Linked DNA regions of Canis lupus familiaris. The protein of the gene in region 3 interacts with the protein of the main gene of each other region in a pairwise test. Links are inferred from orthologs where the notes say so. Each region holds a gene or a part of one and is shown on either strand. Other genes may lie near its edges. The genes, in order: MYOD1, MYF5 and ID1.

The links.
Region 1: the proteins of ID1 (region 3) and MYOD1 interact in a two-hybrid assay, tested with the Homo sapiens proteins (5 studies listed by BioGRID). The link is inferred for Canis lupus familiaris from reciprocal best matches to the Homo sapiens genes ID1 and MYOD1.
Region 2: the proteins of ID1 (region 3) and MYF5 interact in binary tests that used the Homo sapiens proteins (3 or more experiments, as listed by UniProt). The link is inferred for Canis lupus familiaris from reciprocal best matches to the Homo sapiens genes ID1 and MYF5.

What each region holds. Positions count from the first base shown.
Region 1 is NC_049242.1:40,920,066-40,923,899, reverse strand, and holds MYOD1 (myoblast determination protein 1), read right to left. Parts: upstream 2,456-3,834; 5' UTR 2,237-2,455; coding exon 1,607-2,236; intron 1,129-1,606; coding exon 1,050-1,128; intron 802-1,049; coding exon 551-801; downstream 1-550. UniProt on the Homo sapiens protein: Acts as a transcriptional activator that promotes transcription of muscle-specific target genes and plays a role in muscle differentiation. Together with MYF5 and MYOG, co-occupies muscle-specific gene promoter core region during myogenesis.
Region 2 is NC_049236.1:23,285,853-23,290,125, reverse strand, and holds the start of MYF5 (myogenic factor 5), read right to left. Parts: upstream 2,820-4,273; 5' UTR 2,690-2,819; coding exon 2,189-2,689; intron 1,584-2,188; coding exon 1,508-1,583; intron 1,105-1,507; coding exon 914-1,104; 3' UTR 1-913.
Region 3 is NC_049245.1:21,592,965-21,596,689, reverse strand, and holds ID1 (DNA-binding protein inhibitor ID-1), read right to left. Parts: upstream 2,473-3,725; 5' UTR 1,623-2,472; coding exon 1,200-1,622; intron 980-1,199; coding exon 938-979; 3' UTR 539-937; downstream 1-538. UniProt on the Homo sapiens protein: Transcriptional regulator (lacking a basic DNA binding domain) which negatively regulates the basic helix-loop-helix (bHLH) transcription factors by forming heterodimers and inhibiting their DNA binding and transcriptional activity.

The DNA.
Region 1 (3,834 bases), on a different chromosome or scaffold from region 3:
GGGGGAGAGGGTGGAGTGGTTAGTGTTACACGAGCGCACCTCGCGCAGCGCCGGGGCAGAGCAAAGTCGCCGGTGCTGGGGAGCGAGAGGCCACGCCCCCTTAGGCTACAAAGTAGCGGGGCTCGGGGAGAAGAGGCCACGCCCCCTTAGGCTACAAAGTAGCGGGGCTCGGGGAGAAGTGGCCACGCCCCCTTAGGCTCCCCCGGCGCCCGGAGGCGGGGCTTAGGTCTGCGCGGGTCCCACCCCGCGCAAGAAGGGGAAGGGTCTGGCCCCTCAAGAGTCAGCTCTGGCCCAAGGAGGGACCCCTAAAGGCCATCGCAGCGAGTCTCAGGGAAGGGTGTTGCGTGGAAAAAAAGGACTGTGTCCTTACTGTGGAGCGCGGGAGTGGAAACACACAAACAGTTCTCCCTCCGCTCCCAACTCGGGAGGGGTCGCTTTTAAAGCGCGGTTGGGAGTGGGGCTGGCGTTTAAGCTCAATCTTTGGGGCGCGGGGGGCGCCGTCCCTCGGGCGCGTGGGCAGCGGAGGCCTCCCATGCGGCCGCCCACCCCCTCAGAGCACCTGGTAGATGGGGTTGGGGTTTGCGCCCGCTGGGCACTGCGGGGCGGCGTCCGGGGAAGGGGTGGGGGCGCCGCGCTCCGCGTCGCTCTGGGCGGCGGCCTCCTGCGGTCCGGGAGACGACTCCGGCGGCGCCTCGGCCAGCAGGAGCGCGGGCGCCGTGGGGCTCTCGGTGGAGATGCGCTCCACGATGCTGGACAGGCAGTCGAGGCTCGACACCGCAGCACTCTTCCCGGGCCTGGGTTCTGCGCGGGGAGGGGTGGGTTAGTGGCGGCTGAGCCGCGGACAGGCCTCCCGCCTCCGGGCTCAGTGCTTGGGGGCAGACGGGAACCTGAGGACCCAGGGAGAGCACGGAGCGAAAAGGGAGTGGGCTGCACGCTTAGTATTTCATTCCCTGTACCGTCTCCGGGATTAGGGGGAGGGGGAGGTCCAGATAGAGGGAAGCCGTGGCAGCTCAAAGCGGGTAACGTGGGAAGGAGGCGCAAATACGCACCGCTGGGCGCCTCGCTGTAGTAGGTGCCATCGTAGCAGTTCCGCCGCCGGGCACCGCTCGGGGGGCCGCTGTAGTCCATCTGCAAACGGCAAGGGCAAGGGCGACCGAGTCAGGCTCGGGGACCGCGGGGGGCCAGAGCATCACTCTCTGTAACCACCTGCCCCAACTCCCCATGTCTCCGCCACGAGATCTGGGCCCTGGCTGGGGGACAGGGGCGGACGGAGATTGTCTGCAATCTCCCGGGCCAACCAGCGCGTGGACAGTCGCCTAGGAGCATAAGTCTATTTTGTAAATAGGGATGAGTGCAGAAAAGCACAACTCCAGGTCGCTGCAGCAGAGCTCTAACAGCGCCCCCGGCCGGGTGGATCGCATTTGTCCCGTGCGCCCCCAGAGCATCAGGCCACCCCGGTGACGGCTGCTCAGGACACCAGGGTCCACTCCCCAGAAGGTTCCCGGCCCAAACCTCCCTCTGGAGGGCCAACTCCCCGCCTTGTGCAACGCGTCCCAGATACAGCAAGAGCTGCCCTCACTTCTCTAGCTCGGGGTCCTGGCCTTACCATGCCGTCGGAGCAGTTGGAGCGCGGGCTGGACGCGTCGGAGTCGCCGCTGTAGTGTTCGCCGCCACGGCCTGGGGGCAGCGGGCCAGGCGCGTAGAAGGCAGCGGCGGCACCAGGGGGCGCGGCGTCCTGGTCGCGCAGCAGCGCCTGCAGACCTTCGATGTAGCGAATCGCGTTGCGCAGGATCTCCACCTTGGGCAGCCGCTGGTTCGGGTTGCTGGACGTGCAGCGCTTGAGCGTCTCGAAAGCCTCGTTGACTTTGCTCAGGCGGCGCCGCTCGCGCATGGTGGCGGCCTTGCGGCGGTCGGCGTTGGTGGTCTTGCGCTTGCACGCTTTGCAGGCCCACAGCAGACAGCGGCCGGCCTGGTGGTGCCCGCTGGGAGCGCGCACATGCTCGTCCTCGCGCGCGCCTGGCGCAGGGTGCACGGCCGCAGGGAAGTGCGAGTGCTCCTCGGGCTTCAGGAGCGCGCCCACGTGCACGAGGCGCGGGTCCAGGTCCTCGAAGAAACGCAGGTCGGGGGAGTCGAAACACGGGTCATCGTAGAAATCATCCGCCGAGGCGAAGTTGCAGAGGGAGCCGTCGGGGCCGCTCAAGTCTACGTCGCGGAGCGGCGGCGACAGCAGCTCCATATCCCGGCAGGGGGTGGCGCAGTCCCGGCTTCGCCAGGGGTTGCCCCAAACTTTCTGCCTCTCCGCAGCCCTGGCCGTGCGATGGTAAAGTACGGGGTCGTCTGAATGGACACCCGACTTTCCCCCCCTCCGCCGGGTCCTGTCGGGCCTGATGCGCCGGTGAGGAAAGCGGCTGCAGCGCCCCGGGGCTTCCCCACCCCTAGCCTCACGCCAGGCGCCCGGGGCTATTTATCCCGTAGTAGCTAAAGGGCCCCAGAGCGGGAGCGGGCGGCTGGGGGCGGGGGCGCCCGAGGCCAATAGAAACGGGGTGGGGAGGAGCTTGGGATCCCCAGGGTGGCCGCTGGGGCAGGAGACTGGCCAGCCCCCTAGCCCTCGACCCCCGCGCGCGCGCTCCCGCCCCTCCCCGGGCTGGGAGCGAGGCAGAGGCTGGCAGCCCCACGCGGCTGCACTCGGCTCGCGGGCGCGCTCGCTCCAAACCTCCCCGCGCCGTCCGCGTCCGGCGCCCTCGGAAAATGTTGGCCGCGCGCGCCCAGCTCCAAGCTGACTTTGGGCTTCCCTCTGTCCTAGGATTTGTGGGGGACCCAGGTGCAGGGGATGAGTAGAACAGATCGCGAGGGATTTGGAGAGAGACCCGTGGCAGTGGGGCAGAGACACACTCAGAGCGGAGATAGTGAGACAGTGAGAGATACGGCCAAGAGATAGAGACCGAGCAGAAAGCTAGAGGCAGAAGCAGAGAAACCTGCGGCGAGACATAGAGTCCTGGGGGCGAACCGGAATCCCTGGGTGGCGCAGCGGTTTGGCGCCTGCCTTTGGCCCAGGGCGGGATCCTGTAGACCCGGGATCGAATCCCACGTCGGGCTCCCGGTGCATGGAGCCTGCTTCTCCCTCTGCCTGTGTCTCTGCCTCTCTCTCTGTGTGTGTGTGTGACTATCATAAATAAAAAAAAGGGGGGGGCGAACCTGAGATAAACTGGATGCGGCGGCCGGTCCTCGGCCAGTTCCCACCTGGGGAGTCGCTCAGAGGGCGGAGGGCCCAGCCCACCTTCCCCGCCCGCCCGCCTAGGAACAGAGCCGCATGGTGCAGAAGAGGAGGATGGCTGCTGACCCTTGGCGCCAATCTCGCCAAGCCCAGGTCCTGCCCCAGGCTGGAGGCAGGGAAGTGCACTCCTGCCCAGCTCGACCTGTGTGTTTCCGCAGCGGAGTGTCCAGTGCGGGGCTGGGTGGAGATGTGTCTTCAACTGGGAAGAAAACTGTCTGCTCCGGTTTTGCCTCCTTGTTGCGTGCAGCGCTGCACCAGCGAAGTTCACTGCGCAAAGGCCTGGAGCGTCGGGACTCAGCCTGGGAACCCCACATCAGAGTGGAATCTTTGAGAGTAGAGCTTGCAGACCAATGACCTAAGTCCGAATCTGGATCCCACAGTTTTCCTGTGTGATTTTTGCGGAAGTCACATCGCCTTCCAAGCCTCCCGTTTCCCCAGTTTGTAAATTTGGAGATAATAAGAGCGATTTCTTGGAGCGATTGTGGTGGTGGTGAGAATCTAAAGACACCAAAAGATGTGGAGGTCCTCAGTCGGAGGTGCAAGGCTGTATTCTGGAGAAG
Region 2 (4,273 bases), on a different chromosome or scaffold from region 3:
TCAAGATTCCTAATGTACCGTATTAAAATGATGTAATATTGTACTTTATTTTCGTTGAAACATGTTGTCTTGTCCTGAATAACTTCTACTTTTCCTCCACGCCCTCACAATTTGACACTAGATGGCACGGTGCTAAGATAAGGGAAAAATTGTATTTAGCAGGCTCCCGTGAAAGCTGATTAAAATAGAAATGTTCTCTTCATTTGGGACATCAACAGGACCTCAGCTGCGACTGAGAGATGGTAAACGTTCAAATGTATACACAAAGCCAGCTATTTTGTTATTTTCAGGACCACCTTAAGGTTTTGTGTCAGTGATTGCTAATCCCATTAGGGGTGTTCTTTTTAAAAAAACATGAATCAGAAAAGACCAAAATAGATACCGTTAGGCAGTGTTGTTACGTTCTTACTTTTTTTTTTTTTTGTTACGTTCTTACTTAATACAATATCACCAAAAGGTTAATAGGAAAACAAAAGTTAAATATATTTAAGGTTTCCTGTAACTGATTTCCAGCTGTCCTAATGTTTTAAAGAAAAAAAAATAAAGATCTAACATCAGACATAATATTTTGATTAGCAATATTTATAAAAAATATATAAGTTAAGCATTGCAACAAGCTATCTTCAATGAATTGCCCCCTATCGGAAAGAATATTATTGGAGCTATATATCTAAAGCAAAGAAGGAGCTAAAGGAGGAGGTGGAGGAGGAGGAGAAAAGGAATAAAGTATTAATTGCAATGGTGACTTTTTAGTTAAATACACTTTCGTATAAAGTGGCAAGATGGTATTTACACATTTACAACGCAAAGGAAATCTTTATATACAACTTGTCTTGCTCTTGGACTTTCGGGGCTTCCTTCCTCCTGCGTAATAGGCCCTCCTCATGGAACTGATCTAGACTAGACTTTCAGTTCATAGCACATGATAGATGAGCCTGGAACCAGAGGCCCCCGGAGTTGCAGGCTGGGAATCCGTGCTGGCAACTGGGGAGAGGGAGGCCGGGTCCTGGAGAGGCAATCCAGGTTGCTCGGAGTTGGTGATTCGATCCACTATGCTGGATAAACAATCCAAGCTGGATAAGGAGCTTTTATCTGTGGCATATACTAAGAACACAAGGAGAAAACCATTAAAAAAAAAAAATCTCAGATAGAGAGACTGGCTTTCTGGCCCCGTAAACTGTATAGGTCAGCAACTTTGACCCCCAGGGGTCAGGTGGTCACAGAAAGCCGGACGTGGACATTTGTAACAAATATCCAGCCACTCATGGGAGTGAACGCAGGGGGCGGAGAAGCCCCCTAGTAAAATTGCCAGCAAAAGCACACATGTGTGCGTCTGTGAGGGGGGACTTGACCAAAAGATGTGCGTGATTGTGCCAAAACCTCCCCATAGGAAGCATCCTTTGTATTCCCTTCTCCAGTACAGCCTGGGAAACCAGACTGCTTTGACAGGCCCGACTGCGAAGTCGACCTGATTCTTAAACTCCTCTGAGGTCCCACCAATTCTTACCATTTGGCCCATCAGGACAGTAGATGCTGTCAAAACTGCTGCTCTTTCTGGACCAGACAGGGCTGTTACATTCGGGCTGCGACACAAGACACAAAGCAAGTGTGTTTGCAGGGCTTGGCAAAAGATGCTCGGACCTGTGCTTGACTAGGTCCGCAGGGGGCGGGGGGGCCCTCCGTCCCCTTCGTGGCCTCCCCAGGCCCTAAGGGCTGCGAGGTCAGACTCTGAGGCCGCCAGGAGGAGAGAGCCCGGCAAGGGGAAGCGGGCGGGGGTGGAATTCAGCAGCAATGTGCGTGGGGTTAACCATGCAAAATGGATTGGGGCAGAAGGAAGCCACAGTAATTCAGGGAGAGAATACTTTCCCAGGGCAAAAACCCATTAAAACCTGGCAGGGACGGAGCAAAGGCCCTCTGAGAAGAATGCAGCCCCATCTCTCTCCAGCAGGGCCTCAGCAGGGCAGGGACCGGGCCGGGGGCACAAACGTGTCACCGGTCACTGGCCACCTCGCTCGCATGCCCACCCTCCCTCCGACCTTCCGAGAACCTGGGCGGAGGGCAAGCGGACATCCCGCTCGACAGCTGTTGCCTGGCGCCCTTCCAGTGCGGCAAGCCCCCCTGCCCTCGGGCACCCCCGTCTCCACCGGTAACTACTGACTGGGGCTAAGGGGGGTGCGGGGGCTCCTACCAGGCCGTCGGAGCAGCTGGACGTGGGGCTGGTGGGCTCGGAGCAGCTGGGCGCCGCCAGGCCCAAGTAGGTCTGCACCTGCTCGCGCAGCAGCTCCTGCAGGCTCTCGATGTAGCGGATGGCGTTCCGGAGGATCTCCACCTTGGGCAGCCGCTGGTTGGGGTTGGTCGTGGTGCACCTCTTGAGCGTCTCGAAGGCCTGGTTGACCTTCTTCAGGCGTCTCCTCTCGCGCATGGTGGCCGCCTTCCGCCGGTCCGTGGTCGTGGACTTCCTCTTGCACGCCTTGCAGGCCCACAGGAGGCAGTGGCCCGCCTGGTGGTGGCCCGTGGGGGCTCGCACGTGCTCGTCCTCGTCGGGGCCCGGCAGCGCCGCTCTGCGCGCCCCGAAGGCGGCCCCCCTGGCCTCCAGCTCGTCTCCGAAGTCGCCCTCGGGGGACGGGATGCAGGCGCCGTCGTAGAAGTACTCGGAGGGCGAGAAGGGGCAGCCGTCCATCACGTCCATGCTGAAGCCAGGGGTGCGTGCGCCCGGGAGCGGCGGCGAGAGGGAGGGGAGACCGGAGAGGCGGGAGAGGCGGGAGAGATGGAGAGAGATGGGAGAGAGATGGGAGAGATGGGAGAGATGGGGAGAGATGGGAGAGATGGGGAGATATGGGAGAGATGGGGAGATATGGGAGAGATGGGGGGAGATGGGAGAGATGGGGAGAGATAGAAAAGGGAGAGATGGGGAGAGATGGGAGAGATGGGAGAGATGAAAGAGATGGGGAAAGATAGAAAAGGGAATGATGGGGAGAGATGGGAGAGACGGGAGATATGGGAGAGATGGGGAGAGATGGGAGAGATGGGGAGAGATGGGGAGAGATGGGGGAGATGGGAGAGATGGGGAGAGATAGAAAAGGGAGAGATGGGGAGAGATGGGAGAGATGGGGAGAGACAGGAGAGATGGGAGAGATGGAAGAGATGGGAGAGATGAAAGAGATGGGGAAAGATAGAAAAGGGAATGATGGGGAGAGATGGGAGAGACGGGAGATATGGGAGAGATGAAAGAGATGGGGAGAGATGGAGAGAAAAGGGAGAGATGGGAGAGATGGGGAGAGATGGAGAGAGATGGGAGAGATGAAAGAGATGGGGAGAGATGGAAGAGATGGGGAGAGATGGAAGAGATGGGGAGAGATGGGAGAGATGGGGAGAGATGGAAGAGATGGGGAGAGATGGGGAGAGATGGGAGAGATGGGGAGAAAGGGGAGAGACAAGAGGGACGGGAGAGACGGAGAGACGCCGCCTGCGCGGGCGGCTGGGTCGGGGCTCCGCAGCTCCGCGGGGCGAGCGCCTGGGGCCCGGGCCGGGTGAGCGGGGCTTGGGGCTCCTTATATACTCCGGGGAGGGAGGGCGGGAGGCCGCCCCCGCGGCCCCGCACTATTAGCATATCCCGCCGCGGCCCGGAGCCGATTTGCTGTTTACGGCCCCTCGGACTAATGGTTTTCGTGCGGCGGGGCCTCGGCGGGGCGCCCCCACCCCCGCCCTTGCGTGCACTCCCTGGAGCCCCTGGACCCCGGGGTCACTTAAAGACGCGTGCAGACAAAGGGACGAAGCCGTCCGACTCTTCGGAGCCGCTCGGACCTAAAAGCTACGCCCCAACGCGCCTCCCTGCCTTCCCGATCCTGGACGTGAGCACGCACCTTATTTTTAGGTGCTTTCTGTGCTCTACACGAACTTTAGTTAGCTCAGGGATTTGTTTTTTCTTTGTTTTTTGTTTTTTGCCCCCCCCCCCCCCCCATCAGTGGATCGAATAACGGTTGCTGAAAGCTTGGAGGCGACCCTCTGAATCGTGCAGTGAAGCTAGGTTCTTAAACATCGGTGGTGTTGCGATGAGGTCACCTTAGGGCCCGGGGCTCCCGGATGGGGCGGGGGGAGTCCTTCCGAGGCCCGGCCGCCCCCCCCCCCAGCCCCCTTCTGCACCAGCTCCCGGGCGCCTCCTCCTGGGGTCGGGCCTCTGCGGGGCCCGGGGCGGCCCAGGACCGAGCTTCAGGGGCGCCGCCTCCCTCCCTCCAGGGCCCGGCTGCCTTTCTCCCCCTTCCGCTCCGCCCTG
Region 3 (3,725 bases):
CTGGGAGCCCCAGGGCAGCCTGCTACAATCCAGGGCTAGGCAGCCCAACTGGGGAGGCACCTCCCACTGGGGAATGGGGCGACAGAAGTCCTGCCTCAGACAGGCTCTCAGCAAGTTTTCTCCTCTAGGTCTTGGTCTCCCCTTCCCCTATGTTGGCAAAGATGGAGGCGGCTCAGTGACCTGGTTCTCCAACTTAAATGGCCTGTTGAATACTTAAAGTGACAGTGGGCCTTGGCAGGTTGATCTGCATTTTTAACAACCTCCCCCAGGTGACCCAGATGGCCCAAGACCGCTTGGAGAAACCCTAGAGGTCTAGAGGATTTAATTTTATGACACCAGGGAGCAGGGAAATGACCAGTGATGGGGAAAGAATAGACTTTAAAGACACCGGAAAACACTCAGTTCAGGTCGGTAAAACCGACAGTCCAGATGTGGCCTTCTAAGTACCCCTCCCCCAAACCCCAGCACCAGCTGTGAAGAGAGTCAGGGGTCACCCGCATCCCAAGGCCCTCCCCTCAGTCCAAAAAATCACTGCAACTTTACCGTAGTCTAAAGTGTTTGTTTAATAACAAAAAAAGAAAACCACCCCACAGAACTATTGTAAAACAATATTCTCGGTGATCATTGTAATATACAATACAAAGCAATTAATTTCCTCAGAAATCTGAGAAGCACCAAACGTGACCATTTTTTAAAATGTCTGCTTTTCAAAAAATAGAAACACACTGGGGAGGGGTCCCCCAAGTCTCTGGTGGTTGGTAGGTGGAGGGTCAGCCCTCCGTCCCGGGCCCTGGGCTGGATCCAGCAAGCGCCCCACCGGTCGCCGAGCTCAATCGTGTGTCCTCCCCAGCTCCAGCGAGGCGCTCGGCAGGATCAGAGCACGGGTTCTTCTCGCCCCCTGGAGGGCTGGGGTCCGCCAGTCCTGGAGAGAGGCGCTTCAGCGACACAAGATGCGATCGTCCGCCGGAACACACGCCGCCTGTGAAACGAGAGAGGTGAGACGGGCGGGTCGGAGGGGACGAGGCTGCAACACCTTCCCCAGGAGACGCTTTTGAGAGCGCGCTTCTTCCGATCTCCTTGGGCATCCCTGCACAGCCAGGTGCCCGGAAGGATGGGGCGGCTGTAGAGCCAAGGCTCACCCCCCTCCGCCTCCCTCGGGGCCTGTGTCCCCAACTGTTGAAAGAAAATGCTCCTCTCACCTCGGCCGCCAGGGCGCTGATCTCGCCGTTGAGGGTGCTGAGCGGAGCCCGGGCGGGGAGCCCCCGGCCTCCCGGGGTCCCGACTTGGGATTCCGAGTTCAGCTCCAACTCCAGGTCCCAGATGTAGTCGATGACGTGCTGGAGGATCTCCACCCGGCTCACCTTGCGGTTCTGGGGCAGGGTGGGCACCAGCTCCTTGAGGCGCGAGTAGCAGCCGTTCATGTCGTAGAGCAGCACGTTCACCTGCTGCTCGTCGAGCAGGGCGGGCAGGCGCGCCCCGGCGCCCCCCGCGCAGCGCGAGATGGCCACGCTCTGCTCGGACAGACAGCGCACCACCTCGCCCGCGCCGCCCGCCGTCTTGCCGGCCTTCAGCGCGCAGCTGGGGCCCGCGGCGGCCGCGGCACTGCCACTGGCGACCTTCATGATGCTGGCGTCGGAGAAGAGCGGGGAGCCGAAGCGCAAGGAGGCGGTCACCCGGCGGGAGCCTGGACCTCGGGGCGGGGGAGAGGCGGTTGTAGAGTGCGCCCGCGGCACCCCCGCAGCAGCTTTTATAGAGACGCCGCGGCTCCCCCCCCTCCCCTCTGCCCCGCCGCCAGAGGCGGGCTCAGAGGTTCAAAAGCAGCCAATGGGCGGTCTTGAGGCGTGGCCTTCGGTGCTTCTGGGGCCCGCCTCCTGCTCCACGAGTGCACCCTCGCAGCCTCGGAAAGGGAGCCCGAGTCTCAGGAACCGGGAGTGGAAGGGCACGGGGCGGGGTGGCTAGTGGCAGGCGAGGGCTACCTTGGGCTTCTCGCAAAGGACGCATTGCCGACAACGAAGACTTCTGGAATCACTTTTCTCAGGTTCATTTTCTCACCTCTCCAGCTCCATTTTACAGATGGGAGAAATTGAGGCTTCAGTGCGGAAGCGGCTGGCTCTGGTTTATCTAGAGAGCCCACGACTAGAGCCTGGGCTTCTGGGAGCCCGACCTCTTGGGTCTGGCACAAAACTTAAAGCCGGCCTTCCTTTACCCTCTGCTCCCCAAAGCTGGTCTCCCTTACCCAATTCCCAGAGAAGGTTGCTAGTTAATGTTCCTGGGACCTGGGAGGCTTTACCCAGGCCCCTCTGGGTGGGAGCAATTAATTCGGGAAAGTCTTCCTCTAGGATCGGGGGCGGATCCTCTGGGACATGAACTAGATAGAAGGCCCCCAGGGGGGGCTGCATCTCCTGCAAAGATTCCCTAAATCTGCATCAACTAGTGATTTTAGAATTTTTCTCCCTTTTTTGGCTGTTTCCTGTCCCCTTCCCCCCCACCCCCAAGACCTCCGATCAGGGTCTCCCTCCCACGGCGCGGCAGCTGCCGAGCTCCAGGCTCACCCCCCCCCCGCCCCCCACCTCCCGGGCGGGTCTGTGTCAGCGTCTGAACAAGCGGCTCAGACCGTTAGACGCCAGGCCCGTGACGTCACCCATTCATAAAACCGGGACGGGCTGTCAGGCTGGCGCCGCGCGGGCGGTCGCCATGGAGACGGCAAACCCGGCTCGAGCGCTCCCCCACTGCGCCCCGCTCGGCCAGTCACCTGCGGACCCCGGGCGGGAAGCCGGGAATGCGCTCCTGGCGGGCGCGGTCTCTGGCCAAGGGTCGCCTTCCCTGCCCCACACCTGGGAATCGCCCCGCCGGGCTCACACCTCAGGCCCCTGGGACGTTTCTTCACCGCTTCCTCGGCACCCTGGCTGCGGGGGGAGAGTTCTCATCCCAACTTTGCTGCTGGGTGAAGTTAGTTGTCTCCGGCTCTGAGTCCTTTTTTTTTTTTTTTTTTTTTTTAAGATTTTATTTATTTATTCATGAGAGAGTCAGAGACACAGGCAGAGGGAGAAGCAGGCTCCACGCAGGGAGCCCGACGCGGGACTCGATCCCGGGTCTACAGGATCACACCCTGGGCCCTCTGCAGGCCCTAAACCGCTGAGCCACCCAGGGATTCCCCCGTCTCTGATTCCTAATATAGCATTTGCCTGGCATTTTGATATTAATGACAAAGTGGCTTATTGAATTCTTAGTTCGTGCAAGGCACGTGTATTTCATTGTGTGTAAAGCCATTGCCGTTATCATCGTCTGTAATCCTAGTCACAACTCTAGAGAGGAGTTCTTTGGTTTCTTTATGCAAAGGAGGAAACTGAGGCCCGAAAAGTCTCCCTAGAGGCATAGCTCTTGTAATGGCTGCATTATTTTAACAGGGGCACTTTATTGTAACGCAATCCCTTCCTTCCAGGGTAGGGAGTCGGAGCTTTTGGAGCCCCAGATTGGCCAGAAGCTGGAGACACCAATGTCTAGAATAGCCACCCAAGGACGTGGAGCTTTGGCATGGCTAAAATACTTTGCCCACCACGGAGAGAGTTGGTATTATGGTTATGGTCCCTCCTCCTCCCCATCCCCCAGCAATTAATTCACTGGGCATCAGCAGGTTTCCTTTTCCCACAGAAGTCTGGGGGAGGGGGCCAGTAAACCTGGCTTCTGCCTCAACATGGGAGAACCAGGAAAACCAATCAGTGAGA